4 linked regions of the Rattus norvegicus genome follow. The protein of the gene in region 3 binds, or shares a complex with, the protein of the main gene of each other region. Links are inferred from orthologs where the notes say so. Each region holds a gene or a part of one and is shown on either strand. Other genes may lie near its edges. The genes, in order: Ucn, Gnas, Crhr1 and Crh.

The links.
Region 1: the proteins of Crhr1 (region 3) and Ucn are in contact, whole or in part, in a cryo-EM structure (PDB 6PB0), measured with the Homo sapiens proteins. The link is inferred for Rattus norvegicus from reciprocal best matches to the Homo sapiens genes CRHR1 and UCN. Residues at the interface, in NP_004373.2 of Homo sapiens: Leu106, Asn107, Glu109, Lys113, His117, Val120, Asn123, Trp169, Val172, Gln173, Ser177, Pro178, His181, Gln182, Thr192, Tyr195, Asn196, His199, Phe203, Phe260, Gly261, Lys262, Pro264, Tyr270, Tyr272, Gln273, Met276, Ile277, Tyr327, Phe330; in NP_003344.1 of Homo sapiens: Asn84, Pro85, Ser86, Leu87, Ser88, Ile89, Asp90, Leu91, Thr92, Phe93, His94, Leu95, Leu96, Arg97, Leu99, Leu100, Glu101, Leu102, Ala103, Arg104, Thr105, Gln106, Gln108, Arg109.
Region 2: the proteins of Crhr1 (region 3) and Gnas are in contact, whole or in part, in a cryo-EM structure (PDB 6P9X), measured with the Homo sapiens proteins. The link is inferred for Rattus norvegicus from reciprocal best matches to the Homo sapiens genes CRHR1 and GNAS. Residues at the interface, in NP_004373.2 of Homo sapiens: Arg151, His155, Tyr212, Leu213, Ala216, Ile217, Leu219, Thr220, Tyr221, Asp224, Arg227, Ile290, Ile293, Leu294, Lys297, Leu298, Ala300, Ser301, Lys311, Lys314, Ala315, Val318, Leu319, Leu322, Phe362, Tyr363, Asn367, Ser368, Glu369; in NP_000507.1 of Homo sapiens: Gln35, Arg38, Ala39, His41, Val217, Phe219, Phe376, Cys379, Arg380, Asp381, Ile383, Gln384, Arg385, His387, Leu388, Gln390, Tyr391, Glu392, Leu393, Leu394.
Region 4: the proteins of Crhr1 (region 3) and Crh are in contact, whole or in part, in a cryo-EM structure (PDB 6P9X), measured with the Homo sapiens proteins. The link is inferred for Rattus norvegicus from reciprocal best matches to the Homo sapiens genes CRHR1 and CRH. Residues at the interface, in NP_004373.2 of Homo sapiens: Lys113, Tyr116, His117, Ala119, Val120, Asn123, Trp169, Val172, Gln173, Met176, Ser177, Pro178, His181, Thr192, Tyr195, Asn196, His199, Phe203, Phe260, Gly261, Lys262, Tyr267, Tyr272, Gln273, Met276, Ile277, Leu280, Tyr327, Phe330, Phe331; in NP_000747.1 of Homo sapiens: Glu156, Pro157, Pro158, Ile159, Ser160, Leu161, Asp162, Leu163, Thr164, Phe165, His166, Leu167, Leu168, Arg169, Glu170, Leu172, Met174, Arg176.

Annotation. Positions count from the first base shown.
Region 1 is NC_086024.1:30,954,589-30,961,397, forward strand, and holds Ucn (urocortin precursor), read left to right. Parts: upstream 1-3,497; 5' UTR 3,498-3,532; intron 3,533-3,793; 5' UTR 3,794-3,806; coding exon 3,807-4,175; 3' UTR 4,176-4,328; downstream 4,329-6,809. Other genes in the region: protein Mpv17, read left to right, coding at 813-882; Trim54 (tripartite motif-containing protein 54), read right to left, coding at 4,850-4,860, 5,137-5,229, 5,339-5,463, 5,579-5,601, 5,911-6,144. UniProt on the Homo sapiens protein: Acts in vitro to stimulate the secretion of adrenocorticotropic hormone (ACTH). Binds with high affinity to CRF receptor types 1, 2-alpha, and 2-beta. Plays a role in the establishment of normal hearing thresholds.
Region 2 is NC_086021.1:183,499,894-183,508,136, reverse strand, and holds the start of Gnas (GNAS), read right to left. Parts: upstream 4,895-8,243; 5' UTR 4,892-4,894; coding exon 2,503-4,891; intron 2,292-2,502; coding exon of another isoform or gene 2,017-2,291; exon of another isoform or gene 1,244-2,016; intron 1-1,243. UniProt on the Homo sapiens protein: Guanine nucleotide-binding proteins (G proteins) function as transducers in numerous signaling pathways controlled by G protein-coupled receptors (GPCRs).
Region 3 is NC_086028.1:89,572,791-89,580,370, reverse strand, and holds part of Crhr1 (corticotropin-releasing factor receptor 1), read right to left. Parts: intron 4,791-7,580; coding exon 4,684-4,790; exon of another isoform or gene 4,619-4,683; intron 3,987-4,618; coding exon 3,866-3,986; intron 3,694-3,865; coding exon 3,540-3,693; intron 3,336-3,539; coding exon 3,275-3,335; intron 891-3,274; coding exon 818-890; intron 1-817.
Region 4 is NC_086020.1:104,056,854-104,064,425, forward strand, and holds Crh (corticoliberin precursor), read right to left. Parts: upstream 4,196-7,572; 5' UTR 4,036-4,195; intron 3,367-4,035; 5' UTR 3,353-3,366; coding exon 2,789-3,352; 3' UTR 2,331-2,788; downstream 1-2,330. Other genes in the region: Trim55 (tripartite motif-containing protein 55), read left to right, coding at 430-552. UniProt on the Homo sapiens protein: Hormone regulating the release of corticotropin from pituitary gland. Induces NLRP6 in intestinal epithelial cells, hence may influence gut microbiota profile.

The sequences.
Region 1 (6,809 bases), on a different chromosome or scaffold from region 3:
TTTCTTTTTTGGTTCTTTTTTCACCGAACCCGGGGCCTTGCGCTTCCTAGGCAAGCGCTCTACCACTGAGCTAAATCCCCAGCCCCGAGGGTGCCCACTTTTTACCATAACATCAGAGAGTCAAAGGTGGGAGGATCGGGAGTTCAAGTGTTCAAGACTGTCTTTGGTGACATAGTGACCACAAGAGGTCTCTCTCTTTATGTATTATCTATGTATGTATGTATGTATGTATGTATATGAATTTTATATATACACATATAAATGAGGATATATATATATATATATGTGTGTATATATATATATATATATATATATATATATGGATGACGGAGGCAAGGCATTATTTTTAGAATTGAAATCTTGGCTGATAGAAGGTATACAGATATATTTGGAAAGGTCTAGATAGACGAGTCATTTGTTGACTGAGCTGCCGGTGGACCAGTGATATGACTCAGTGGCTAAGAGCCCTTGCTGCCAGACCTGATGCCCCGAGTCCATTCCTTGGAACCCACATGGAGGAAGGAGAGAACCAGCTCCCTAGAGCCGTCCCCTGACTTACATGTAACACGTGCACACAGAGACAAGTTAATAAGTAAAGGGAGTGAGCTGTGGAGGTTATTTAAGCTCTGAGGCCTTCGCCTGACAGGAACTCGGAGATAGAGCAGAGCTGGACTGGTTGTCTTCTGGTCTGAACCTACAGTCCCTACAGCGGCTCAGAGGAAGGCAGCCCAAACCTGGGACTTCCCAAGACCTTCCCATTGCTCTCCTAGCCTGCCCCTTCTCTTCTTCACAGTGGCATTCCTGTCCCTTAGGTTGGCTGTTGTCCAGTGCGTTGCTGTTGTCTGGAACTCCTACCTGTCCTGGAAGGCACATCAGCTCTAAGCCTGCCCTGTTCCGTGGTTCGCACCTTGCACTGCTGCTCCGTGGCCCTCTAATGCTTGGACAGCTTCTTCCAACTGAGCACAACAGGACTGGAGAGGTGGCTCAGCCGTTAGAGCATGGACTGACTGCTCTATAGGAGACCTAAGTTTGGTTCCAAACACCCACATCGGGTAGCTCACACCTCCGTGTCTCAAGCTCCAGGAGATCTGATGTCCTCTTCTGGCCTCTGAAGCACCTGCACTCACATGTACATATCAACACATAGACACATTCGTAATTAAGCACACAATGAAATCTTTTTTTTTTTTGGGTTCTTTTTTTCGGAGCTGGGGACCGAACCCAGGGCCTTGCGCTTCCTAGGTAAGCGCTCTACCACTGAGCTAAATCCCCAGCCCCTGAAATCTTTACAAGGAGGGAGTGTGTCCGTGATTCGAGGTTGCTGATCAGAGTAGGGCGACCACTCTAAAAACGTAACTGCTTTTGAAATCACTAAGACCTTTATAGTATTGCTGTCACTCTGGCACTTAACTGATGGGGACACACTAGAAGAATTGTGTCCTGAGCTAGAGAAATGGCTCAGAGGTTAAGAGCACTGACTGTTCTTCCAGAGGTCCTGAGTTCAATTCCCAGCAGCCACACAGTGTTTCACAACCATCTGTAATGGGATCCAATGACCTCTTCTGGTGTGTCTGAAGACAGCGACTATTCATATACATAAATAAATCTTTTTAAAAAAAGAATTGTGTCCTTTAGCAATTTTGTCACTGTGTACACATAGTAGTATATACTTAAACAGATGGTAACAGTTGCTTACATGGCTTCTCAGTCAGCCTGACATGCTGTACGGTTTTACAGGGGGCTTTTTTTCATATGTAGAACATTTTAAAATAATAAATATAGCAAATTCATGAATCAGTAACTATTGTTTATCACTAAGGTATATGTACCATACATAGTTGTACAAGCTATACGTTCATATTACTGCCAGTGTGTTTCCACCAGCATCATCAAAGACACGTGAAAAAATTCACCAGACTAAGACATAACTAATGCTGCTGTGTGGGCGGGATATTTCAGCTCCGCTGTGATTATATGAAGCCAAAACTGCGTGTGCTGCCATCACTGACTAAAGGGTCATTATGCAACGTGACCGTAGTATATTCCGCACAGATACTTGTAGAGTAATATGACCTTGCCACCCTTACACCTATGTCCCAATAGCTAGCACACGTCCCCACCCTCTATAGATACAACTTTCTGTCCAGTGTTGAGGCTTGAACCCAGCCTTGGGCATACTAGTCAAGTGCTCTAACACTGAGCAACGTCCCTAGACTAGAAAATGTTTCGTGGGGTTGGGGAGTTAGCTCAGTGGTAGAGCGCTTACCTAGCAAGCGCAAGGCCCTGGGTTCGGTCCCCAGCTCTGAAAAAAAAGAAAAGAAAAGAAAAAAAAAGAAGAAAAGAAAATGTTTCGTAATGTTTCTAGGTCCTAGTGCCCTTCCAGACCCCCCTCTGGGACTTTATAGACACACAGAAATAGATACATTATTATCTGGAATCTGCAGTGGCTGACATGTCTGTAACTAAAGTGGAGGCTTTTCATTTACAGACACCAATGATTTTGGAAGTGAGAGACCTGACCACACCTCGAGTTGATGTGAGAGCAGGAACTTGCTCACTTCCTAACTAGTGATTTCTTGTGTGTGTGTGGGGGGGGGGTGTTCAAAACTGGGTTTCTTTGTGTAATCTTGACTGTCTTGGAATTAGCTCGGGTCGGTAGACCAGTTTGGCCACAAACTCACAGTTCTGCCTGCCTCTGTCTCCCCGGTGCTGGGATTAAAGGAGTGCACCAGTACCCCCACCCCTAGTTCCTCACCTAGTAATCCTAACTAGAAGATAAAGGTATGAAGTACTATTTCTGTGGGTCCTAGGAAGTTTACTTTGGCAAACTCAGGAGGTGCGTTAAGTTCTGAAAGCCGAACGCCCTTTTATGCCATTCTGACACCTGTAGATTTTAGTTTCTACTGCTGTACCACAATGGTCAGTAGAATGGGAGGGACCTATTAGGGTGGGAGGGGCTTTGGGTGGGACTGTGTTGTCTGAGCCCCTTCCAGCACAGCATTCCTGATCTCAATCTGGGGACCCAGTAGCCGACCTAGGGAACTGTGTCTTGGCAGCCCAGGGTTCTCCCCAGAACTTCTGCCCAGATTCTTAGCCGTGAAGAAATTCAGAACCACGGACAGCTCCACAATCCTACCAATCCGTACTTGAGCAGAGAAACCAACCCCTGACTATCCTATTGTGGAGAGGCTGGTGGTGGGAAGGACTCTGTCTGCATCCGGAAAGATCTATCTTTAAGGCTCCGTCAGCCTCTCCCTCTACAGCCAGGGTGCTTCCAAAGATAGCTCCAGGGACACAAAGTCAGGATACGTGCCCCTCTGGGGGCTCGAAGCTACTGGACTCGAAGCTGCCAGTGTCACTGTTTCTACAATCAGTTCAGTTCTTCGCTGACGTCAGTCGGAGCTGTCCCGGTGCTATATAAGGCTGGCGGCGGTCCCGGGACCGACCCCGTGCTCCCCAAGGCGTCTTCAACCCGTCCCCGGGGACAGAGACTGGAGCTCCATCTTGCACTGGATAGACACTCCGATAACCTGTGAGTGGCTTGGAGCAAACGATCCAGACTCCCTTACCGCCAGGACTCTGCACTAAGCCCACCCACTTTGACCTGCCCGGAGGGAAAGGAGGGAGGGGTGGAACTGGAGTGGCACAGCGCCTTGGGCTGGTGGGCAGGTTGTGGACACCAGGCAACAGCTGGAGGGTCCTAGCGGGGACATTGGGCGTGTGCGCGAAGGGGCTCGTGTCACCTGTGACTGCTCCAAGTGCATCTCACCCTATGCTGCCCCTGTGTGTCCAGGGCAGGCGGCACCATGAGGCAGAGGGGACGCGCTACGCTCCTGGTAGCGTTGCTGCTTCTGGTTCAGCTGCGCCCGGAGAGCAGCCAGTGGAGCCCAGCGGCTGCGGCGGCGAATGTGGTCCAGGATCCGAATCTGCGATGGAACCCCGGAGTGCGGAATCAGGGCGGAGGTGTCCGCGCACTCCTCTTGCTGTTAGCGGAGCGCTTCCCGCGCCGCGCGGGATCTGAGCCTGCAGGCGAGCGGCAACGACGAGACGACCCGCCGTTGTCCATCGACCTCACCTTCCACCTGCTGCGGACCCTGCTAGAGCTAGCTCGGACACAGAGCCAGCGCGAGCGCGCAGAGCAGAACCGCATCATATTCGATTCGGTGGGCAAGTGATCGGCCCCGTATGGGGTCCAGAAAGCCTTGACCCTTTCCCCCACCTACCCCGGGGCTGGAGCGCGCACAACCGGAGCTGGCTCAGTCCCGCGTTGCAGCGCCGCCCAGAGTTACCCTGAACACTCTGACTGGATATTTTTTAATAAAACTGCCCAAGAGCTTAGCCTCTATCTTCTGTTACAGGGGTGAGGGGGCACCGGCAACCACAGTAGGGTAAGAACTTTTGGGAGAGTGGGGCTCTCCAGGCCGGTAGGAGAGACAAGCATGCGTAGTGGGATGGGAGAGGCAGCCTATCAGTAAAGTTCCTATGGCCCTTCCCCCAACCCGCCAAATCCCGGAACTCGGTGGTCTGAGACCCCAACCCAGACACCTTTCAGGGTCTCCGGCTCAGGAGGCCACCTCTGATGTAAAGGAGGTGCCACTTCGGACTATTTCACCTCCACCCCTTCAGATGGTCTGGGGTTGAGAAAGGGCAGAGTAATGGCGAGGTTGCTTCTATAGTTGAGCCTAGGAGTGGGCAGTGAAAGGAGCTGAGGACGTGGGACGTGGGACACATGAGTTCTTTATTGAGAACCATCCCTGGGGGTGGAGGCCGAGATGGGTAGCGCGATGGTCTCTGCGCAGATCCTCAGCATCCCTTGGCTCCCGGGCGTGCGCTCTGGATCAGAGTCGGATCAGTGCAAACCTGAACCGGGGGAGGGGGGAATGCTCGGTGGGTGGATGCTCCAAACGAACAAGGCCCTCCCGACAGCCAACGCTCCCAGGCAGCGGGATTTCCACTACTCCGGACCCTACAGGCTCCCCAAAGCCGTGGGAAAAGGAGTGCTTTTCAGAGCGCTAGGGGGTGCGCTTTGAGGTTCCTGTACAGTGGCATGTCCTGGTATCGCCGGGAAGACAGTCACCCAAGGGGCCACGAGCTTGCTAACTACTCTTCACCCCTAAACCTTCGTCCAACTCTCACCTTCTGGCCCGTCCAGCCGCTCCTCCTCCAGCCCTGTGTTGCCCTCTTCCCCGTCCAAAGTCACCTCGTCATCCTCTTCATCCCCAGAGGCGCCTAGGTGGAAGGGCAGGCCTGGTGATGTGGAGCCCCTGCTCTCCTGGCCATAGCGCCCACCTCATACCCCTTCAGCACGTCTAAACAGTCCCTCCCTCGGCTCCCTCACCCGGCTGGAAGTCGATGGTCCGCAACATTTCCGCCACGTGCTCCACGATCACAGAGAATTGCTCCATGCTCTCATAGCCTGGCTCCGGCCGTCCAGCCAGCTCCACCTTCGACATTGCCCCGACCCTATGATGGCCACAAGGGCTCAGCAGGGGGACTCCTCCTCTCCCTCAAGCCCCTCCCAGGTCAGAAGGAAAGAATCCGCAGGGTCCCTTCCTTTCCCACCGAGCAGTCCACTCACTTGTTGATCAGCTCCTTGGCCTGCTGCAGGGGAGAAAAAGAGGACGAAGGTGAGGACTGGGCCAGCCCTGGCAAAGCCCTATTTCCGACTCTCACGAATTCTTGCGGGGTAGGAGGGGATTTATATCCCGATTCATTAAGAAGGAGAGAGAGAGAGAGAGAGAGAGAGAGAGAGAGAGAGAGAGAGAGAGAGAGAGAGAGAGAGAGAAGCGCGACTCGGAAAAGTGACTTTTCCCAGGTGGTGGAAATTCTGGAGGGAAGACTTGACCCCCCCGCTCCCCAAACCCTGAGTCCCGACACCCTGAAGGCCCTCCGCCCTCCCTCTCCGCCCACCTGGAGGTAGAGAGCCATCTGCGGCTCCTCCATGGACTGGATGGCGGACTCCACCAGCTTAGAGGAGGCCTCCAAGTGGTCTCCGTACTGGCGGATGAGGCTACGCACGCGCTGCAGCTTCTCCTCTTGCACCCGAGCCAGCGCTTGAAGCAACTCGCCCTTGCGCTCCTCCAAAACCGCGCACAGGGTCTCGAACTTCTGGTTTAACAGTTGTTTCTGTCTGCGGCTGTTGTCCTGAAAGACCACAGCAAATCTGAATGAAGAAGGTCTCTCCTGAGCACCCCCAGAGCTGCGAGAGCAGGGCATTTTAGTCCTCTCCCCACTTAAGAAAGCCAAGAAGGAAGGCGATCTGGCTAGGGTCACACCTTGAGTTAGGGACACAGAACCCAGCTCAGATGTTTTCAGTTAACAGGGATGACAAAGGTGTCAAAGAATTTCAAGGCTGCTTCACTGGGAGCCAAGTACCACGCGGCTGGCTTTGGCTTTGTCTTGAACGAATTTTCACTTCCTTGTTAAGAAAATCAAATGAGTGGCTACTGTGTGACTACAAGCATCACCTTTCAAAGTTAATTGGGTTGATCCGGGCGCTTTTGGCCCAAGCCTTTAATCCCAGAACTCAGAGGCAGACAGATCTCTAGGAGTCTGGTCTACAGAGGGAGTTCCAAGGCAGCCAGGGCTACATGGAGAAACCCTGTCTCAAAAGCCAAAATTAAAATACAAGTAATTTTTTGTCTGTTATGAAATTAAGCTTTATTTCAAAATACAGACATTGGTTAGAGAGGTACAGAAAGGGCTTTGCTGTTAGTCTGTCCTCCTCTTGCAGAGGACCTAAGCTTTGTTCCAAGAATTCTTGTTAAATGACAACTTCCTGTAACTGCAAAGGATCCACAAGCTCCTCT
Region 2 (8,243 bases), on a different chromosome or scaffold from region 3:
TTCTGGACCAGAATGCGTCTAAAAGAACACAGTGGCTCTGTTCCATAAAGGGCAGGCAGGCCAGTGCCATGGTACCCCCTAAAAATGTGCTTCTGTTTGGGTTTAATTATCCCCTCTAGGAAAAAAAATCTAAGGGATACAAGGGAAACATCCGCTATTCTGAAGGAAGCTTGATCCCAGCCCTGAGGTTTGGTGCAGAGAACTGCAGTAGCAGAGTGCGTAACTTCCAAGCACCTTCTCCCTGTATTGAGGTGGGGGCTGGACAGAAGACCCCAAGTCCTGTTACTATAGGACACTTAAATGAAAATTTCCTGAGAAATCTTTGTTTCTCAAGCAAGGCGGCTGAGACTCCAGAATATAAGGGGCGTGTGTCCACTTGACTAACTAACTGGGATTCAGATATGCACAGTCACTTGGGTCTTCTACCTGCAGACATCTGTGTCCCCACCCACTGCCAACTCTCAGGTCAGCTTCTCAGAGTACAGAAATGAACCTGCAGTGAGATCGAAGCCTTCTCATGTGGGGTACTGTGCTTTTTACGTAACAGGGACATTTGAAATTCATAGCAACCTCCCTTCTTCCATGTGCTGGAGTCAATGATACCAACGTTTTCCCCAGGTAGGCATAAATAAAGTGACCATTCCATCTAAAATCATGATTTGTGGGAGGGGACATCGCAGCAGCACAGCCATGCCAAGGTCTTTAATAAACATCGTCACAGATTACCAAATGTTGCACAGACAAATGGAGCATACAGCCTTAGACACTGTGATCCTGAGATCCCTTGACAGGTTTTAAAGAATAAAATAAATTAATTGTGGAGAGCCACTCATGAAGATTTTATTTAAGCCACAGATAGAGACCATTGTTAATTGCTGTTCTGATTAATCTGGCGAGAAGAATGAATGCCTCAGGTTGGAGATGAGAAGTCTGATGTGGGAGGGGCTCTGGCTGCAGGATGAGGGGAGGGGTGTCTGTGAAGGGAGGAACATGGAGAGCTGGGGAGGGGGTCGTACAGAGGGCGGTGGAAGATGAGGGCCTCAAAAGGCACCTATCTGGCTGGCATAACATTTCTTTAATCTTCATCCTAAAAATCTTTATTTTTTTCATCACAAACTGACTTATAGAAGATCTTACCTTTAGTCCAAGCTATAGCTGCTTGAAAAAAAGATTCACAAGCAAACATATACAGACTTCACAAGTGAGATTACGAGCTTCCCAGGCATTGTCCACACGCTCAGTATGCACTCTGATTATTTATTTTGTTTATTTTAATTGCAATTAAAATACAAAGGCAACATTGTACCTCCCAATATACAACTTCCAACCCTCTTAAACTAGGTCCCTCCTGCCACAAATTTTAAAAATATAAGTGATTGCCTTACCTCGGGCTCTTCACTAAGAAGAAAATTGTTTTTTTATATGTATATATTATATGTAATATATATGTGTGTTTATTTAAGCCCAGCCACGCCCACCCCTGTGTGTTTTGAATGTGGCTTTGCCAACGGGGCTAAAGCATGCTCCCCCCCTTTTCTCCTGCTCTATTCCCCACCCCCCACAGGTGGACCCAGTATGTGTGTGCGTGTGCACAGAATACAAAATACACATGTTTTGAACAACCCCAAAGCCCCAGATACCTAAGTGTCTGTTTTTTTCAACCATTAAGGCGGGAGGGTTTGACGTATGTATTGAGAACTGAGGAAATGCTTAACGCAAAGGGAAAAAGAGAGACATACCGGGGAAAAAGGTCATGGAGGCCCGCGGCGGCGGGCCCCACTCCCCCCAGCCATCGGCCCAGCAGATTACCCAGGATGCCACGCCACCGTTGCCTGCGCGTTTTCCCTCTGCTCGCTGCAGAGAGTCTGCACACAGGTTATTACAGAGTGTACCAACACGGAAAGTTTTGGTCGCGCCATGGCGCAAATCACAAGGCAACCTATTTCAGAGTACAAATATAAAATCGGCGGGTACATTGAAAGTGTCTGGGGTGGGAACTGGGACACACTGAGCATGTCATGCACAGGCGAACACAGAAAATGGACACCAACACACACCAACAACAAGCTGTCTGAGTCGAAGCAGCCGTGCTAGGCGAGGCGGGGGCGCGCACCCCGATGGCCCTAGCCCACCGCGGTCACGAACAATCGAGCCGGGGGAGCCCCGAAGGGCCCACCCCAGCAGTTCTGGGCTCACCTCACGCCCCCGCCTGTCCAGCCTAGGATCGCTGGCGCTGGCGCTGGCCTCCGGCCGGTAACGACCCTCAGTGTCGCTCGGCACCACTTTTCTCCCTGGAGGGCATACAGTTCGGCCACCCGAACACTCCAAAAGGCCCCTTTCCCACCCCAGGGCAGAGTTGGGGTCCCTCCCTGGAACTTCTAACAGGGTATCCAGACCCCTCCTCCCACGGGCAAGGCCCAAGCCCCACCGGAAGGCCCTACCACCCCCTCCCCGGGTGCCCGGGGTGGCCCTACTGCCCAGGGGCAGAAGCTGCGGCATTACCTAGAAGCAGCAGGCGGTGTGTACACATGTAGTCCATCTTCTCCTCCTCCAGTTGCTTGTCGATGAGCTTGCTGCGTTTCTTATCTGCGCGCTTCTGCTCTCGCATCTCCATGGCTTCTTTGCGCATCTGTTTGCGCCTCTCTTCCATAGGATCCTTGGCCTTCCCGGGGCTGAGGGATCGTGATCGGGTACACTCAGATAGACCGAAGCAGCTTCCGAAGGCTCGGGCGAAGAAGTTGCGGACCGGGTTGCTCCCGACTGTGTGGCTCCGGGGCTGGCCAGGGCGGCGGTTTCGCCGCAGAAGCCACTGGAAGCAGCCAGTGGCCCCTTCTTCCGACTCATCGCTGGAGGACTCGATCTCGCAGATGCCGGACGCAGCCTCATACCTGCAGCAGCTTCGGCCACGTTCGTATTTGTCAGGCCAGGCACTCGGCCGCGGAGCAGGCCGCGGAGTAGGCGGGTCAGCAACCTGGATCTCCGGGCTGGGGGGTCTAAGATGGGCCCTGCTTGGGGCGGCAGAGGCTGACCGGCCGGCAGCGACTGCGCGGGCAGCAGAGGCTGCTCGGGCGGCAGCTGCTGCGCGGGCAGGGAGGGATGCCCGAGCGGCTGGAGTAGCCGAGAGTGACCTGGCTCCCCAGACCAGAGGACCTGCATAGGCTGCTCTAGCGGCGGCTGCCCTAGCAGCGGCTGACATCGCTGAGGCTCCAGGGACAGCCCCGGCGGCTGGATGGGCTCTGGCAGAAGGGACAGCCCGGGTAGCGGGCTCCGTAGGGGTGACGGGGGCTGCCCGGGCGGCAGGCTCCGCCGGCGTGGCAGAGGCTGCCGCGGCTGCGGGCTCCTCTTGGGTGTCGGGGACTGCCCCGGAGGCAGACTCGGCTTCGGTGTCAGGGACTGCCTCGGCAGCTGGCTCGGCGGCTGGCTCGGCGGCTGGCTCGGCGGCTGGCTCAGCGGCTGGCTCGGCGGCTGGCTCGGCGGCGGCGGCGGCGGCTGGTTCTCTGTTGTCTTCGGACTCGGCAGGGGTGGCTGGGGCTGTCCCTCCGTCTGGTTCTGCCCGGACATCTGGGCCCGCATCTTCAGAAGCAGGCGGAAGATCGGTGGGCATGGTTGGGACTCCTCCGACTTCCTCAGGACCGATCTGAAGAACTGCGTGTGTAGCTGAGTCCGGATCGGCTTTGGAAGAGTCCGTTCCGGACTCCGCAACAGGAGCTGGCTTGATATGCACTGTTTCAGGTTGGGTGGGGGATCCTTCTCCTCGCTCGAGGGAGGGGACTTTTGCCTCCTCTGCAGTGGTGCTGCTGATAGGGCTGTTTCCTGTCTCGGCTGCTTGTCGCTCAAGTGGGGGTCTCTTTGCGTGCTCGCTCTTAACTGGGGCTCCCGAGACTTCGATGGGCGGGCCATCACTTGCGATTGGGGGGCTGTCCATATTGACAGCGGTGTCGTCGTCGACCCCAGTGGAGGCTCTGCCAATCTCAAGCAGGGGTCTGGTGATCTCCATTGGGGAAATGTCGTATGCGAAGTTAGGAGATCTGACAGCCTCGCGGAATGGTCTGCCAATGGCGCCCTGGACCCAGAGGGGAGGCGCGTTCGCGGCGGGAGCGAGGCAGAGCGTACTCGGGACCGCGACTGTCGGGAACTCGCCGCCAATGCCGATTTGTGGCGTGACTCGCGGGAGTCCTGGGGGTGGGCTATCGCCCCCGAATTCTTCTCCATCGAGCTGAAATGGCACAGATTCTTCAGGTGGAGGGCTGTAGTCTTCTCGGAAGCCAGTGTTTTCAAATCCGAGGTTCCCGGGCTCCGCGGGAAGAGCTCTGGAGACCCATGCTTCCGGACCCCCTGGCGCAAGGTCTGGGACTTGCAAGGGAGGCTGGCAACGGTCTTCCTGGGCAGGCTCATTGAACTCAAATGGCATAGCTTCTTCTGGTGGGGGGCTATAGGCTCCCAGGCCTGGGTGTGCACCAGTGGGGGTCCCGGGCTCCAAAATCGCTGGGTTGAAGGCTTTGATGCCTGATGGGGTCCCAGATGGTCCAGGCTGCTCCAGGGTGGGCCAGAAATCTCCCAGGCTGGGCTGTTGGATCTCGAATGGCATGGCTTCCTCTGGAGGTGGGCTGTAGTCTCCGCCCACTTGGACTTCCTCGAAGGCCTGACTGGGGCTCTGGATGTCAGATTTGGAGTCTTCAGGGGGTCCACAGACCTCACTGTCAGTCTCGTCGGGGATGGGCTCATTGTTAGACGGTTCGGTCTCCATTTCTTCGGCTGGGCCAACCCCAGCACCGGGGGCAGCGGCCCCTTGGGCTTCCAAAGGTTCTTGCTCGGGCTGGTCCCCGACTTCAGGGGGGATATCGTGTTGTCCTGACATATTATTGCCGTGGAGGCAGTTGAGCATGCCCATAACACGGTGGCGGCTTTCAAAATAAATTTGGGGCCCCGTAAGACGGAGCACCCAGCCAAACTAGGGTGAAAAAAAATATATTTTTTAAAAAAATTCAAGTTTTGGCTGGAAAGTTCTCCAGCCTCAGTTTCCAACCTTCGTAAGGATCGGTGATCCGGGACTAGAACCCATGGCCATGGCTGAAGCGAGTCATCTCTTGCTGGCGAGGTCTGGCACCTTCCAAGTTACCTTTACCCCTTCGGGCTGTGGTCGGCCAGCAACTTTAGGAACTTTTTTGTGCTCTCTTCTTACTTTGGTCTACTTTAGCTCCGCCTTCTTGGCATCCAAGAGCGTGCCGATTCGTCTCGAAAATCGTAAGTAGAACTCTTTCTCTGCCGCCAGAGGACGCCGGTCTCAGTGCTGAGCCGGCTCTGGGAGCTGGCTCCGGGTGCCAGCTGCTCCCGACTTTGGGTAAGGGGGCGGATGAGCGGAGGCCTCGTAGGGACGTTCAGCTCCGTCCTCTTCTCTCCCGGACTGATTCCGAGTCTCTCTTCCTCGCTTTTTCTCTAGCCAGAGAGAGCGCGAGCTCTCTTGCGTTGCTGGGACACGTGACGCAAGACGTGGGCATTGGCCTGTTAGAGTACAGGAGCTGAAAGCCTCCCTCCCCATCTGATTCTTCTGGACGGGAGGAGGGACTGCAGGAGGGCTTTATCACCCCAGATTACCCTAGTATGCGGCGAATCTTTTATCTAAAGACCCTACACTCAGGCCAATTATCCATATTCATCTCCAAGCCAGGAAAAGGAGGCTTTAGGATACAAGGAAAGGGGGTAGAGGCAAGCACTATAAAATGCGACAGGTGGTCGTGAGCCCACCGGAAGGGGAGGGGGGGTGAGGAAGTGCGGAATGTAAACACGCAATTTGTTATTTAAATGCTCCGGGTAGTTTTTTTTTCTCTTTTTGATGTTTACGTTTGCTGTTTGTCGGGGATGGCTCGGCAAATACTGTCAATGTCCCCCATCCCCATTACACCTAGAGTGGCCTAATGTGACGCAGTCAGGGCTCGCTCTGTTTATGTGGGTGGTGACGCAGTATGAATAAAGGTCTCGGTAGTGCACTGCGGAAAATCAAGCAAAGCCCCCTTAGGCGGTACTCATGGTTGCCGCGTTCGTGCAGACAGGGGAGGGGACCCGGGGCTTACCGAAAGACCCCCTAGCTCAGGGCTCGCACTTCTGTGTTCTGGGTAAGGGCCAAAGGAGATTTGGGGTGTGGTTGATGGCCCATTTAGGGTGGTCTTAAAGACTAGAAAACCCGATTATGCCCTTAACCCACCAACCAACCGTGCTGTGGTGGCAACGGCTGCAGGGACTCCCGTCTTCCAGCCACCAGTGCCAGCTGCCGATTCCGTGTCCGGTTCCTCTATATAGATAGCCCTTCTCCAGACCCCTTCCATCCCCTTCTCTGTTGTGAGCACCATAAAGCATTTGCTGTACTTTGAACTGCAACAGCCCACCCAAACGATATTAAGCGCGGCCACAAAGCCCGCGGCTGCGCGCCCCTTGTGGTGCCGCGGTGGGCTCAGAGCTGCAGGAGATAAATAGTCCCGTTGCCCGGTGGGCTCAGCGAATAATCACAAAATGCTTTTAGGTCTGGGATCTGCAGAGGAACTCAGGACAGGGGTGAGGGTTTTTTTGTTTGTTTGCCTTTCGGGTTTTGGTCTTTTGTTGTGCCGCTCTCAGAGCATACAAACGCGGCACGCGCACACCGCCGTCATTTTGCCAGTAGGTAATGGCGATGGCGAGAGGCATTGTCTTTTGTTGCAGTACAGCTAGGCAGTAGGCAGGTCTGACCTGCAGGACCCTGAGGAAAGAGTATGGAGTGGTACATGAGGCGGGCTGCGGCAATTATGCACCAGGCAGATGGCTATATTGAAAGACACATGCGGGTGTGCCGCGGCATGATTTAATTCTCAGAAGTCTAACATGTCCCTCTTCCCACTGCAGGCTCAGCACACTACAGCCCCTTGCCAACAGCGTCCACGTGGTCACCCTGAGTACAGGAAAGCAGACAATGTGAAGCCTTAGAGAATGCCTGCGATCTCCCGAAGGCGTGTCACCTCAGCTCTACGGCTCAACACACTGCATGCCGGACACTTTGAACTTTGGTCCAAAGTTTGGCCAACTACCCCCACTCAAAATGGCGAAACGGTTTGAACACACACGGAATGGGCCAACTGGGTCTCAACCACTAACCCACTCCCCTCCGACCCCAGCGACAGGTCAGCTATTGGGCTGGGGTCACGCCAATCAAGGATTCCTGGCGAATGAGCAGGGGGCTTCAGACCGGAAACCGGATATGGGTGGGAGGTCCAAAAGGGGGCGCCGCGTTGGAACGCCCAAAGAGGTTGTGCTTGCTGGGTTGGTTGGAAGCAGTTGGCGGGCGGGCGTATGGCGGTCAGGCCTAGAAGGCCACGGTCGCCGTAAGTTCCTTGGGGGATCAAGCTTTTTGATCCCCTAACTTGCCAAGGCAAGGTGGGAAGGTCAGGGACACCCATGGACCATCTCTTGGGCTCATAATGGCGGTAGGCTAACCCACTTCACAGAGAGGGCTATCGCCGAGGCACCGCGAAGAGAGGCTTTTCCAGGGGCTGGAGGTGGTGAGCCAGGCCTATGGAGAGAGAGAGCATACTGCTCCGATGCAGACGAGCAGTACAAGATGGACAGAGTTCATTTCCCAGGGATGCTGAACCCTGCACAAGGTGAAAGGTCAGTAGACGCTGAGGTTGGAGACCCTAGGAGACCGCCACGCGGATCTCGTGGGCTTTCCAGGCCTCTCACACCCATCCCCAAAGCACCATTCATCAAAAATATGGGTTCAGGTTCTCTTTGTTCAGACATTGTCATGATCTGTAAGGATCCTTTGTTCCACGTTATTCCTTATATCATGCTTCTCTGACAGGGAGAAACATCCAGAGCATGCCAGTCTCCTTGTGAAAGAACAGAACAGCATGAAAATGGAAAGAGAAGACCTCCAATAGGAGGTTGCAAAGACCAGGTGGAGAAAATGGCGCCTCGAATGGGTTTCCATAGCAAGATGTCTTGACTGACTAGAAGGGGCGGGGCAGAGCGGGCACACCTTCACCTATCTGGAACAAAGAGTCCAATGTAAGGAAGTGTGGGGCCTGCTTGCATAAACGATCGGACACCTTTGCTCCAGTAGAAGCAGTAGGGAAGAAGGGAGAAAAATGGTTGTGCTTTCTGAGGCGTCCATGCAGCATCCGGGTTCTTTTGGCAGGAAGTGAAGAGGAGGAAATGGAGTAGACGGTGGAAGGTGTGTTTTTTCTCACCCTCTTGGCAGATGAAGATGTGAATCA
Region 3 (7,580 bases):
ATGAGTATCAGGGGTGGGGTGGGTATCAGGGGTGGGGATGGGTATCAGGGGTGGGGGTGGGTATCAGAGGTGAGGATGGGTATCAGGGGTGGGGATGGGTTGCAGGGGTGGGGATGGGGAGCAGGGGTGGGGATGGGTATCAGAGGTGGGGATGGGTATCAGGAGTGGGGATGGGGAGCAGGGGTGGGGATTGGGAGCAGGGGTGGGGATGGGTATCAGGGGTGGGGATGGGTATCAGGGGTGGGGATGGGTATCAGGGGTGGGGTGGTATCAGGAGTGGGGATGGGGAGCAGGGGTGGGGATGGGGAGCAGGGGTGGGGGTGGGTATCAGAGGTGGGGATGGGTATCAGGGGTGGGGATGGGTATCAGGGGTGGGGATGGGGAGCAGAGGTGGGGGTGGGTATCAGAGGTGGGGATGGGTATCAGGGGTGGGGATGGGTATCAGGAGTGGGGATGGGGAACAGGGGTGGGGTGGGTAACAGGGGTGGGGGTGGGTTGCAGGAGTGGGGATGGGTTGCAGAGGTGGGGATGGGGAGCAGGGATGGGAGCAGGGACATATGCAGGAAATGGAGGTGGGTGGGGTGGATAGGACCAGCCCTCAGCTCCCTCAGCTCTGCTCTTGGTATTCCTGCTGCACACACTCATTCGAACGCGCTCTCTCCCCTTCTCTCTCCTCCCTCTCTCCTCTTATTAAGACCTACAAACTCCTGGCCTAGGTGCCTTCTCTGGGCCCACCTAGGTGGCCCCTTCTGTCCATGGTAGACAGATTGTCCCTCCCCACAGTGGCCTGTCTCCTGTCACCTCCCAAAGCTCTTACCAGCAGGACCAGGATCATGGGGCCCTGGTAGATGTAGTCAGTGTATACCCCAGGACGTTTGCCAAACCAGCACCTAGAGGGCCAAGGGAGAAAGGGAAGGGAGGGGTCAACAGAGTCCTTTCAGTGGTATAGTGCTTGAACATAGGGCAGGATCATTGCCAGTGGTCAGGAAAGGGCACCCCAACTTCCAAGAAAGCCAAGCCAACTGGTTCTCCTTCAGTGCCTCCGTGATCCTGACTGCAAAGTGGGTGGTACCCTCTGCTGTAGGTTTTGAAGCTGGAGCGAGCTCTGTGGAGGGAGGGCCCATGAGAAAAAAGGCTACCATCCCCAGCTGTGCAGTTGTGGCTGCTTGTAAGGACCCCACAAGATGGGACTGATCTTGACATTTCTCCAATAGAAAGGTGGGAGGGTCTATTGGAATCCTGAGATTCCAGCCATGTCTGTTTACACCTCTAGGGGCCCACTGCACACGCTCCCATGGTCTTAGGAGGTGCTTGGGTTTGTAGGGTTAACTGGAGGTTAACTATATCGAGGTTGACGCCATTCATATAATAGGGAAGCCTTTATCCATACTGTGGGGAGACTTTCTAGCAGTGCAGTTACTTTAAGGTCTCTTATATCCCTGTAAATAATTCCCTATCTTGGCCCTGTAAGCATTCACAGTCATTCATTGGCTCCCTCAGCTGGACTTTGGTGAACTGCACCTGAGTTTGTGGTTGAGTCCCTCTAACGAAGGGGTAGCTGCTTCTTTGTGTATCCCAGGGAAAAAATTCTCCAAACAGCATCCAGAAACAGCCTGAAGCCCGACACAGCTCTGTGTTCTCCAGTGTCCACAGAGGCACTCTGGCAGTAGTTGTGGTTAGACACGCTCACTGCCCTGTCATACAAGTGGATACCAACCGCAGCTTCTTCGGGACTCCGTTGGAGCGCAGCCCATGCAGAGAAGGTTTCACAGCTAACACTCATTGCAAGATGTAGGCCTGCCTTACAATCCCCCTGAGCTAGCCTCAGGAGTAGGTTGGGACTGGGTACATCAGAAGTCCCACGTTCCTATGGATGGGTATAAGGACTTGCAATGGATGCTGTAAGCCACAATGGGAAGTTAGCATATGTGACCTCCTGACTGAAATGTCAAGGTTTTCTTGTTTGTTTGTTTTTGATTTTTAAACACCATTCAGGTTACACACCACTGTTTACGGACTCCAGACTGGGACCCGGAGCCTCTCAGTTCATCTTCCCCGCTCCTTCTGCTTCACTGTCTGCATTTATCCACCAGAGGGGGCTACAGGGCTGCTCACGCCTAACCTTATAGCGTCCTTCCCGCTCCAGGGTGGGAGCAGGCTCGTTTCTGGGTTTTCCTTCTCTGCCCATCTCTTTTCTTCTCCCATCTCTCCCTCCTGTTCTTTCTGCCCCGTCTCTTGTACTCAATTTTTCATATGCTTCAAAGCACAGGCTTCCCCCATCCAGGAATTCCCAAGAGGATACCACCCCCCGCCCCCAGGATACTGCGCACCCACGGCAGTGAACTGGCTCCCTGTAGTCTGCCGCCTACCCTGCTGCTGCATAAAAAACCCAGCCTGAGGTAGAAAGAACAACCTTCACAAATGTGGATGATATTTTCCCAGGCTTCTCGTGCAGCCCAGTGAGGGGAGGGGAGAGTCTGTCAATGTGAACCCTCCAGTCAGCCAGCTGGGAGCTGGGGATGCTTATGTGTAACCCAGACTGTCTTGCCCGGCCCCTCCCACCTTCTCGGTCTTTCTGTGAAGTTCTAAATCTTCGCTTTACACTGTAACCACCTTGCTACCCAGGCCATGACAGTCCAATAGCATGGAGCCCTGAGGTATAGAACTTTCTAGATCTTCCCCTAAGATCCTTGTGAGGGACGGCTGGGAAGTCCCCCATGTGCAAGGCTGATTCAGATCCAGCTGGAAGAGTCTTTAAAACTACCTGGACTAGTTTTGTTTTTTTTTTTTAACCAATAGAATCTTACTACGAAACACACCTTGATGTTAATAAAAATGTATGTAGCACCTACTGGCTGGCAGGTACTAACTAGTCTATGTGCTTAGTATGCATTGATGCCCTTCATCCCCACTACAGCCTAGAGGTGATAAATAAAATGAAGATGCCCATTTCATGGATGAGGAAACTGAGGCCTGCCATGACAATGAGCTCCAAGGTCACACATAGCCACTCAGTGATGGCACAATCCAGCACCTGGGCTGTGTGGCTTTTGGTATTGCTCTCCTTAAAACTCCAGACAGGTAACAGGCTGGGACCCTGGCTGTCTAGCTCCACCTTCTCAGCAGAGCACTGGAAAAGATCCTAGAATTGAGGCCAGTGCTCTGCTCTGCCTTTGTGGACGCAGAAGCCACTGTCTTTACAGGAGAGACAATGGCCCAAGTCCCCTAGGGAGTGTACTATAGAGCTAGGCTCTGACCTCACAAAGTAGCTTACTTTTCATTGTCGTAGTGCAGCTTCCCAATGGCCCAAGCCACAATGATGGGGAAAGGTACACCTGAGGGAGAAAGCAGATGTCATTGGAGGACCCCAGGTCAGCCAGGGACCCACAGTAGAGCAGGGATTCGTGGGAGTTGAGTTCTGACGCTTCCTGGCAATCCCCCTACTCTCACCCCTAAGAAGAGTTCGCATCCCACCCTCCTGACCCAGCTGGCCCATATCCTCAGTGAGGAGAGGCAGGGGCGGGGCTGGCCCAGCTCACCCCAGCCAATGCAGACGAACATCCACTTGCGCAGACGGTCGGTGGAGTACGTGAGCACAATGGCTGTGTGCAGGTAGCAGCCCTCACCGAACATCCAGAAGAAGTTGGTTACATGGAAGTAATTGTAGGCGGCTGTCACCAACCTACACCAGGCCTGCCCCAACCAGAGATGACAATGAGCTTGGGGGTGTCCAGAGACCCCAGTGTCCAACCCTCAGGCTCCTTGGGGTCCTATTCTTGTTCTGTGGGTACCCGGGCCTGGCCCTTCTACAGGGTCGCCCTCTGACCTAGACTTTGCCTTTTCTGCTTCTCTAGCTGAGACGTACCACATTGCTCTGGTGCACCTCGGGGCTCACGGTGAGCTGGACCACAAACCACGTGGCGTTGCGTAGGATGAAAGCCGAGATGAGGTTCCAGTGGATGATGTTTCTCAGGCACCGGATGCTCCTGGGGCAGCAGGAGAGGGCAGGTGGCCATAGCAACAGGAGGAGAGAGAGGATGAGGGCAAGTGTGAGCATCTCTCCAGCCCAGACACAACAACGGAGAGACTGAAGCTTGGCGTGAGTGGGACTGACGGGCTGGCCTGAACTGCACTGGTCCCTTCCTATCTTGGGCGGCCAAGACATCTGCTCCTGGAAAAGCTTGGTGTGGTCAGGATCCCCTCTCATTCCTCACACCCCAGGATTGAAAAGCAGAGTGCTTACAAACAGGAGAAGCCTCCAACAGCAAAATCCGTCTCGACTTTCAGCTTCTGGTGCTACCCACTAGACACTTTTTCCTGTCACTCTGGCCACAGCTCACTTGAACTTGTGAGAGGGATGCCACTCGATAAAGCCCTCACCTCCAGGGGTCTCCCAAGATGGATACAGACCAGCTTTAGGCATTGCTAACAGCAGGTGAGCCTGGGCTCGTTTCTCCCTACCCTACTTCCCTCAGCAGCTGCTGGGAGAAAGGACAGGCATGACTCTGCAGAGGTCCTAAGAGACCCGAGCTTCACGTAGGTGATACTCTTCTATCCAAATGAGAGATAGGTGACCCTTTGTCAGTGCCCCCACCCCACTGCTAGGCCTGGGTCTTACCCACTGCCCCGCAGTACGCTCAAGGTCCCAGGGGGTGGCGGGTGGCAGTGCCCATGCCTTCTCACCTGAGCCGCAAGAAGAGGACAAAGGCCACCAGGAGGGCTACCAGGGAGATGCAGTGACCCAGGTAGTTGATGATGACTGCAACATGGTAGTGTACTTTGCTCTTCTTCTGAGGGAGGAGAGAGGGCAGAGGTGAGCGTCCTGCACAGCCGCACCTCTGTACCCATTGTACTGAACAGTACCAGGGAGGGGTGCTGGGGAAGAGTGGGCAACAGTAATAGGGTTTGCCCCGCCCCAGAGTGACCCTGTGAGCCACTCACGTGCCACCTTGGAGTAACACCATCCACTTGGGCCAGTCTCTGAATCTGGTCTGTCACGTGTTGCAGACAGATAGGAACTGAGGCTGTATCTAGGTCACACGACGCTCTGTGTCACATTAACACTGTGCACACTTACACAAACACTCAGTGCCCACACATGCCCATGTCTCGCTCTGTCCTGGCTGCACAGGCTCGGGTGGGTGCAGAGACCCCAGCCCTCCAGAATTTTATTTCTTATTCGCTTCTAAACTGAGTTCCCATCTTCCTGGTCACACCCGAATCTGGCTCAATGAGGACTGGGACTTGGATCCCTGACACCCTCATGAAAGCTGGGTGTGGTTATGGAGACTTGTAACTTCAACACGGAGGACCAGAGACAGGTGGGTCCCTGGATCATTGGTCTGCCAGCCCCGCGACACTGACAGCTTCAGGCTTAGTGAAGAGATCCCAGTCTCAACAAATGAGGTGGAAAACCAGTAAAGAAAACACCCTACCTCCACCTCTGAGCTCCACAGGCATACATGGATGTGTGTTCTCCTCACGCATATATGAACACTTGCATGTACCACACACATACCCCGAAAGAAGAAAGCACCAATTCCTTATCCTCAAAGGCTTTCCCTCATTCCAGGCCCAGGGGCTGCCCCAAGAGAACGGTGTCTCTCCAGTTCTTCCTTCCACCCATGCCTCTCCCCCTTATGCTAACTCCCCTCTTGCTGAATTGAGCTTGGGGTCTTGAGCAGGCCGGGCAAGTGCTCTGCTTACTGTGAACTACATCTTCAGTCATTCCTAATTAAAAAAAATCTAAATTCCATTTGTTTATTCAATGTGTGTACTTGTATAGCTTGAGTATAGTCATGTGTGTCACAGCGTGTGCGTGGAGGTTAGGGACAACTTGCACAAGCCAGGTCTCTCCTTCCACCAGGTCACACGTGGTAGCGAGCGCATTTACCCACTGAGCCATCTCCCCAGCCCTTAACTTTCTTAATTATTCAATTATGAATACGTGACAGGAGCTACTGGCACAAGTGCGAAAGCCTTCACACTAAGAGTTTTTTTCCTCGTCTTCAAGCTTCAAAGCGGCCCTGAGGGAAAAGCTGGGAAAAGCACTTGTAACTTCCTTTGCAGAAAAGGAAACCCAGAGGGGTATGCTGACTTGCTCAAGATTCCTAAGATCAGCTTGAAGCATCTCTTACCTACAGGTGAAGCTTGGCAAGGTATTGATGCTACCTACGGGTCCTTAGTCCTTAGGGGACCAGCCAGGACCCAGCGCTCAGTGAATAGCAGATTCCCAGTGCAAACTCCCATTCACCCTTCCCTGGCCAGAAGAAAGTAGGACATCAGATTAGCAGCTCATGCTGCTGGAGCCCTGGGACCCCATAATGGCGTGCGGGGGGGGGGGTCCATTCTGACCTGCAAATACTGAGGGTCTCTAAGGGCCTGCAGCAGATGCCAGGATCCTACCAGAGGCTCCAGACAGACATGCACAACGCAAAGCCTGTCTGGAATGAACACAGGGTTTCCCTTTATTAAAATTAAAATCCATGCTGAGAAGCCCCTGGGTAATAACAGCATCTGTGGAGCTGATGCTGCTATGGCCCCGGCTTTCTCTTTGGGTCTAGGAGGAGGTGGCGGGGCGGGGGGCTTGCTGGCCTCTTCTACCCAAGCCTCTACTCTGGCTCCTCTGTTTGTCAGAGTGAAGCTGGATAGTTTTGAGAGGACCTACTGTGTGCTGGGTCCCACACCATCGTCCTCAGTGAAGTCCCTGAGGCTGGTCCCCGCAGCCTTGTTTTCTAGTTGGAAAGGCCACACAGTGGAGCCAAGCTGTGCAGCTATCAGAACCTGGAGCGGCCTGGCTTTTAGGATTCTCTTCTCCTTCCACCCATAGGGGTTTTGAGGGAGACAAGCAGGGATTGGGGGTTGGGGAGGGGAGGTCTCTGCTGTGTCTAAGATCTTGGTAGAGGGGCTTCTTCATTGAGAGTGTGAATCACGAAGGCTGGAATTGAAGAGCGAAGTCCCAAACCACAGGGGCAGACATACAGCTGGGTCAAGCCATGTGGGCCCGATGCAATCTAAAGACCAGAGCACCAAGACAGCTGCAGGGACAGCAGTGTCACCGAGGAGTGACAGACACCCCGAGACATGGCCACTGCTATGATATGAATGTGTCCCTGAAGTTAAAAGGCTGGAAACATGGTACCCAGTACGGAGCTGCTGGATGTGGAGCCTCTCGGCCAAGTGGGGGCTTCCCCGCAGGATCTGGTTGGTTCTAAAGGAATGTGCTTTCCCTCACGGTTTCTTTGCCTTCTGTCATGAGATGACACAGCAGCAAGGCCTTTGCAAGATGCTAGCCCTTCAGCCTTGGATGTCTCAGCTTCCAGACCCAAAAGCCAAAAACAACCTACAGGCTGGGGGTGTGGCTCAGTTGACACAATGCTTGCCTGCCTCGCATGAAGCTTTGCGTTCAATTCCTAGCAATCCATAATATGATGTGGGAGGGGGGCACTGCCACGTGTCTGAGCCCAGATCTCTGGGGGCAGAGGTTGAAGGATCGGGAGTTCACGTTTTAAAAAAATGTTTAGATTTATTTGTTTTACTTTATGTGCCTGAGCGTTTTGCTTGCATGAAGGTATGTACAC
Region 4 (7,572 bases), on a different chromosome or scaffold from region 3:
GGGATGAAACTCAGGCCTAAGATGTGCTGGGAAAGCACTCTGTCACTGAGCTATGAGGATTAGCAGGATTTTAATAGTTTTGCAGATTTTTGTAAGCCTAGATATCTGCGTGTATGAATGAGACTGTCACATCAGTAGATCATGAACAACCTAATTTGGGAAAATGAAGCAGGGAAACCTGGCCCCTCCCCACTAGAGCTCCCTTCCATGGCATGTGCTATTGCTTTTTCTTTTGAATCATGAGTGTGACTCACTTTAATGGCTCTTGACCATAACTAAGATGACCTGAGCTTGCTTTCTGTCCCTAATAATAATTATGCTTCCTGTAATTATGATTATCAACCTCTCTCCTCAGTAGAACAGTGACTGGACCAATTCTCCAAAGGTCTACTCTCTCCTTCCTCTCATCCACATTTTCTTCTTTTGCAGATTGGATTTGAGGCCTCTTCTCCCCAGGGACAGGCTGCAGCCTTGGGGAGTGGGGGTGGGGCTGATTCTGAGCCAGCTCGCCACGTCTTCTCCTTCTCCTGGTTGAATTCCCTAAATGAATGATATTTATTCTCCTTGCTGCCCCCTGTCTGCCTGGCTGAGAAGCACATAGGGAAACCTGGTGGAAATTCACCGTGATGCATACGAAGGGGACCTCTGGACAGGATTTCTAAAACCAAAACAAAACAAGAACAACACCCTTTAATTCCAGATGACTTATCTAACTTGTTGAGAAAATGATTATGCTCAGAACAAAAATTACAGAAAATACTCTGATGAAGAAACTTGATCTTATGCTTTTATTGGGTGAGAAACATTCTGAAGGGTGTGTAGGTGTGGTGCGTGTACACATCAGCTGTGAGTGGCGAGCGGTTACAAACTGGCAGAACACTCTCCTCTCTCTGGGCTTCTTGTTATTTTCGGACACTCGTGCCTTTTGCTTTTCTCCTTAGCATTGCAGGTGGTAGGTGACATTCAGTGTCAGTTCAGAACTGACCCATTTATCAAAATATGGAGATTGGTCACTGACCAAAGCTATGTAGAATGCTATAGAGGTTCCTCTTCCCTACAGATGTCACAGGATGTACAGCCAGAAGTTTTCTTTACATGTGGCCACACTTCCATAGTCCAGAAGGCCAAAGGTCTAGGGCAATTCTTTAGACATTTTTCTAATACTATTTACATATCTCATAATCTTATATCCATGTAACAGCCACTTTAATTGAAGACTTTCTGGGAGGAACTGTCTACTTTCTTATGTGTCTGCCATAGCAGCAATTCAGCAAACTGTGGAACAACTGCATGTATTTAAATATACACACAGTCTCCCCCTGTGCGCTTTCTCTCTCCCTCTCCCTCTCCTCTCTCTCCCCTCTCTCCCTTCTCTCTCTCCATGCTTTCATCACATACGTGTAACGTTACTTTAAATGAACTCCTAAATAAATGTTTTTAAGAACTTTAGTCTCCTAGCAATTTATTCAGTGATTCATGTTTTATTATTAAGCCATTAATCAAGCACATTTCAAGGGCCTCAAGAGAAGTGCCATCTTCATACATACAAATTAATTTTAAAGTATTAATTATGGAACTAAAAATTTTATAGCTGTAACCAAACTACTAAAGCAAATATATTGTCCGACTAATTAGATACGCTGTTTAATTTTAGAAGCAAATAACAGTCCTACAAGTTGCAGTTATTAGGACTGGGATAGAGAGAAATATGAAAGGTATTTGTGGAGCTATTATTCTTTTTTAAGAAAAAATTTCCCAAGTGCCCTTTTACCACAAATATGTTTATTTATTTGAAATGTTTGCATTATTAAGTTTCTCCTAACTAAGGCTGGTGAGATAGTACAGTGGGTACAACCACTTGCCTTTGGACCTGAAGAACCAAGTTCAATTCTTAGGACTCACATGGTAGGAGTCCTCTGACATCCATCAGTTGTCCTCTGACGTCCACCCATTTGCCAGGATGCCCACACTTCCTGGTCCTCAACTAATTAGGCTTGCAAGCTATTTCCACTGTGACTGATCTTCTAGTTGTAAAATTATCAAGTTTTAAGGGTGGGAGGAACCTCTAAAATTATTTAATTCAATCTCAGAAGGGAAATCTGAGATACAGAGGAAAGCCCAGGACAAATTGCAGGGCTAGTGTAAGCTATGTGACAACGTTCATATTTTTAGGAGAAAATAAAATGTAGGGTTTGTTTTTTGGGGAGGGGATTGTTGTATTGTTTTTATTTTCTTGTGCTGGGTCCATTTCTGAAGAGGAAAAATAAAGCCACAACAACCTTTCAGATTTTATTAAAAATATAGTCAACGTTCTCTGACACAACCAAATTGACCAAGGATCAGAAAGATGTTTTATTATTGAAACATTTACAAGAAAAAGTTGATTCAAAGAGCTTACACATTTTGTCCTAGCCACCCCTCAAGAATGAATTCTCTTACACTGTGTCTCCAAATAAAAACAACTGGGTGACTTCCATCTGCTTTTTTAAAGGTTTCCTCCTTGGATCCACATTTTCTTTAAGATATCGCTATAAAGACACTTATTTGCACATAGAAACTAAGCGTGGGCAATACAAATAACGCTGTTTTGTTACTACAAAGAAACACACTTTGTGCATGCTAATTAAGGGGTATATAGGCTCTCTCCCTGTACATCTTCTATGCTTCAAGCTATATAAAAATAAACAAATGATATCAGAGCTGCAGTATGGTACAGAATACTGTGTTTTAAATTTTTTATTTTTACTTGTGTGCTAAATGCAGAATCGTTTTGGCCAAGCGCAACATTTCATTTCCCGATAATCTCCATCAGTTTCCTGTTGCTGTGAGCTTGCTGAGCTAACTGCTCTGCCCTGGCCATTTCCAAGACTTCCCTCAGAAGGTGGAAGGTGAGATCCAGAGAGATGGGCGGCTCCTCGGACCGCCTCTCCCTCTCCAGCGCCCCCTGGTGGCCACCGAGGGCATCCTCGGCGCCGCGTTCCGCCAGCTCCGTGCTGCTGTCGAGCGGGCGCTGAGGCATCTGCAGCTGCTGCAGCAACACGCGGAAAAAGTTAGCCGCAGCCTGGTCGTGCGAGGGGCGGCTGCCGCGACCCGCGGTGAGGGGCGTGGAGTTGGGGGACAGCCGAGCAGCGGGACTTCTGTTGAGGTTCCCCAGGCGGAGGAAGTATTCTTCACCCATGCGGATCAGAATCGGCTGAGGTTGCTGGGGCTGCTCCGGTTGCAAGAAATTCAACGGCTGCGGGGCCCGCGGCGCTCCAGAGACGGATCCCCTGCTCAGCAGGGCCCTGCAAGGCAGACAGGGCGACAGAGCCACCAGCAGCATGCCCGCGGACACCAGCAGCCGCAGCCGCATGTTAGGGGCGCTCTCTGCAGCCGAGGTTGGGGTAGAGGGAGAGACAAGGTGGAGGAAAGAGAAGGTGGGGGAGAGAGGTAAGACTGGTTAGAGTTTAGCTCAGCTGGAAGGTGTAGCGGGACTTCCTATCCGACAGACACAGACAAGACAGGCTCTGGGCTTCTGTGACGCTGTCCGCGGTGCTGAAGCTATGTACCTGCAAAGCTCATATGGTGCGAGCCTGCAGGTGACCCTTCCTTGGAGACCTAAAAGGGACACCCCCTGACTCCTCTTCCTAAGTCTTCCCCAAACTGACTTTCTTGAGCCCGGAGAAGTGCCACAGGTTTAAGCTATTCGCCCGCTCTAATCGCCCCTTTCGGACATCATTTCCTCCTCTCTGTCTCCATTCCTGCCCTTGCTCCCTTTGCTTGCGGGTATGGGACACAATAAGGGAGCCATTCTTTACACAGACTATGAGCAATGAGTGGCAGATTGGATTGAGTGCATAAAGATGAGCAGCCGCAGCCGCCGTCTAACTTAGCTTTTTGCCACATCGCGGCTGTCATCGGAATTTTAAGGCACAGTTAGCGACACACATACATGCATAGGCACAGGCATTCCAGCACTTGGGCAGCTGGCTCCGGGGCGCACCACAGCAGCTCAGGCAGCACAAAGTTGGTGGCGCCCATCTAGGCGCTGCCTACCTTCTCCTCCCTTGGCAGGTGAGCCCGCACTGTTGTTCTGCGAGGTACCTCTCTCAGGATGCCTCCTGCAGGTTTTCTTCCTCTTCTCCTTTCTCTTCTCCTTTTCTTTGCCTTTCCCCTTTCTCTTCAGTTTCTCAACGTACTTGGGCTCTGAGTTTCTCCACACCAGAGCCCGGAGTGAGATTTTATAACGTCGACCCTCTTCAGAAAGCACGCAGCATTTGCCTAATAAGCTGACGCTCTCTTGACAGCTCGATTGCGTGCTGCCTCTGCTCCTGCATAAATAATAGGGCCCTGCCAAGGAGCGAGGGACAGGGTTCTGCTATTTCAACACTGAATCTCACATCCAATTATATCAACAGATATTTATCGCCTCCTTGGTGACGTCAACGAGCCCTAAAATGGAAGGGCTTCTTATGACTTGTCCATTGACAAAAATTCTTGAATGAGATTATCCAAGTGTGGAAAACATACTGACCTCTTACTATGATAGGCCAGATACAGACCAGAAAAGAGGCAGAGTGGGAGAGAGAAAGAGGTGGGGAGTGCAGAGCTGCCAAGAAGGTAGCCACCATTAAGGGGGTGGATTTGGACATTTCCTGGTGTCTCACCACTCCCACCTAACTTTTCTGTCATGTTGTACTCTCAGGAAAGATCTTAGTATCTGAAATATGTCTTTACTATGGCCTGCCATCTTTCTGCCTGGAGGAGAATGAAGAACTAGGGGACAGAGACAACCAAGTCTTAGCTTTTAGCTCCTTAGTCTTCCCAAGAGCAGATAAAAGAATTGTGGATCTGAAGACAAGACCAATAAGGTTTTTGAAACCAGCTGCGTGTTTTTCTTCATGAGAAAAGAGCTATTCTAATAATGAAGGCTGTAAACAAAGACTCTTAACAAAAACCTCAGGTTCAAGTGAATCTCGGGTCTCCTATGGGTCTCCTCTCAGAATCTAAAGTTAATCAGGACTTTTCTGCTCTCCTAAGAAGACCACGGTGAGCTGTGTGCATTAAAAAGTCTATTCCCAGTCTACAGTGCAAACCCAAGGAGGGAGGCATTGTTCTAATTCTTGTGTTGAACAAACATAAGCTGCTTGATAACCTGAAAAAAATCAGTCCTTGAGCCTGTAAATGAGAATCTTTCATTTTACCTCCATATACTATTAAATCATGACAGTATGTATAGCAAGGCACTCAAGTTATTTATTATGTGTTCTGTTCCTTTCTCCAAATTCAAATGTGTACCACAGTGTCTTTAGTAATTGCTCTCTGACACTATTATAGAATACAATGCCATGTCTACAAATCCACTCTCAATTTTGAGTTAAATGGATATTATGTCTAAGTGGGAAGCAGTTACCTTTAATCCTGCAATTCAAGATGCTGTTACAAACTCTAGTGTCTGTGATTCATTTCAGTTGCCTCATAACCACCACTACTGTTTATCCAAATTTTCCTGTTCCCTGTTTCTGGTTATGTCTGCCATTTTCTCTGTCTCTAAAGTAACAGATAATGCAATGCAGACTTCAACCCCTGTTTGGGACCTGTATTAATCGACAACTCTTCTAGAAACAAAAGGAAAGTGGGGGGAAACACTGGGAGTTTGCAGAAAAGTCAGCTCATAGATGAATAATGCACTGTGGGATGCATTTTTGATAGACAAGAAGACAAGAACATTTTCCCTGTCCACTGGGAAAATGTCATTTGTTAATAAATACTGATTAAAGGGGGTTTGCATCGATAAGGAGGCCTCCAGAACCTTCATTATTGTTACTGTGGGCATTTTAGAAGTTGAAATTCATCTCAGTGCCTGGGTTTTTTGTTGGTTGGTTTCTGTTTTGTTTTAACTTTAATTCTAACCCCTTCTCTGCCCATTCATAAAGTTCAGCTTAAATGCCAGTCTGGAGAGGGAAAGCAGCCAATGAGTCCTGAAGAGGAAGTAAGAAAGGGAAGTGCCTGGGAGCAGTCCAGAAGTCAGGGAGGTTCCTTGGGAGAAGAAGTAGCAAGTGTGAGTCCCTTGCTAACCTCCTGACCCTTAAAATCCCTTCCCATGGGGCCGTCTGAGGATGCATTTTTACTGTCTCTCCCTTGCTGTTGCCATGGGGTTTCACTGGAATATAAATTGTGAAGTATCATAATTTACTGAAGTAAATCAGAGAATACTTGTCTTAGAAATAGTCACTTGGTTTAAATGAAAACTGGTGGTAATCTGAAGTTACTTGGCTAGTGATAAAGTCAGAACAAGAACCCAGTTCTTTTGACTGCCAGCCTTACTATTGACACAGCACTGCAGTATCCTTTGTGCTTCCCTTCCCAGCAAAGGTACATGAATGAGCCTAGATGAGTTGAATTTAGGTGGCACAGCATACACATCAGTTCTTGATGTGCCTTTTCTCCGGTTTATTGCCAAGGCATGAGAATACAGAAAGTCTTTGTGCAGTGCCCCTTGCCTTTAAATGTCAGTGTGTGCACGCTGCTATTTTCATGTTAGCTGAATCTTGTGATTATGATGTGATGTGCACTGATGCACCTAAAAATGAAAATGCAAAAATACACAAATAAAAATCACACAAAATAAAAGCATTACTTTTTACCTTTTTATAGAATACAGAGAGTAGGGATTCTTGAAATTATGATATAGATGTGTGATTGGAGAAGTAACAATGTTCTATACAAGACACTAAGAAATCTAGGCTTATAAATCTCACACCAAGATATACCACCTCACTTATTTTAAGGAGTCATAAAAGGACCAGCACAAATGCTTTTAGATCCTGGAAATATGTCCAAGAAATATGGGCACCAAATAGTGATTAATTTCTGTTCAAAATACTTTTTCAAAAGCAATGTAACATAGGAGTGAGTTAAATAATATAGAGTACAAATTAATTAAATAAAAGAAAAACAATAGAGTTGTGTATGGGACTAAGTGCAGAACACTTGCCTTGTGTTCAAGCTGTAGTTCCACAGACACACACAGGCACACATGCACACAGGTACACATGCACACATGTACACAGGCAGACAGGTACACATGCACACAGGTACACACACACACACACATACACACACAGAGAGAGAGAGAGAGAGAGAGAGAGAGAGAGAGAGAGACAGACAGACAGACAGACAGACAGACAGACAGACAGAAAGCAGGTAGCTCCTTAGCGCCGGCTTCTTCTGCACTTTTATATACTTCTATTGGCAAAATCCAGGCAAGCAAATACACTCTTCAAGTTTGCTAACTAAAAAAGTTGTTGCAATCAGTCTGTCATCTTTCCTCACATTCACGTTGCTTAATTATTGTGGTCACTGAACTTTAGATAGATTTGATAGCCATCTTCATAAAATGAAAGAGAAAGGATTTCAAAAACATAAATACCTTACTGCTTCCATGGGAACAGTATTGTCATTTTTAACAGTTTCTTCTGGTGTCACAGCCATACATCCTTTTTATAAAGAGCATGGAAGACTCTGAAACACAGAGTAAAGAATGTAAGCCAGGTGTGGTGCCATACACCTCTAATCCCAGCACCTTCAGTG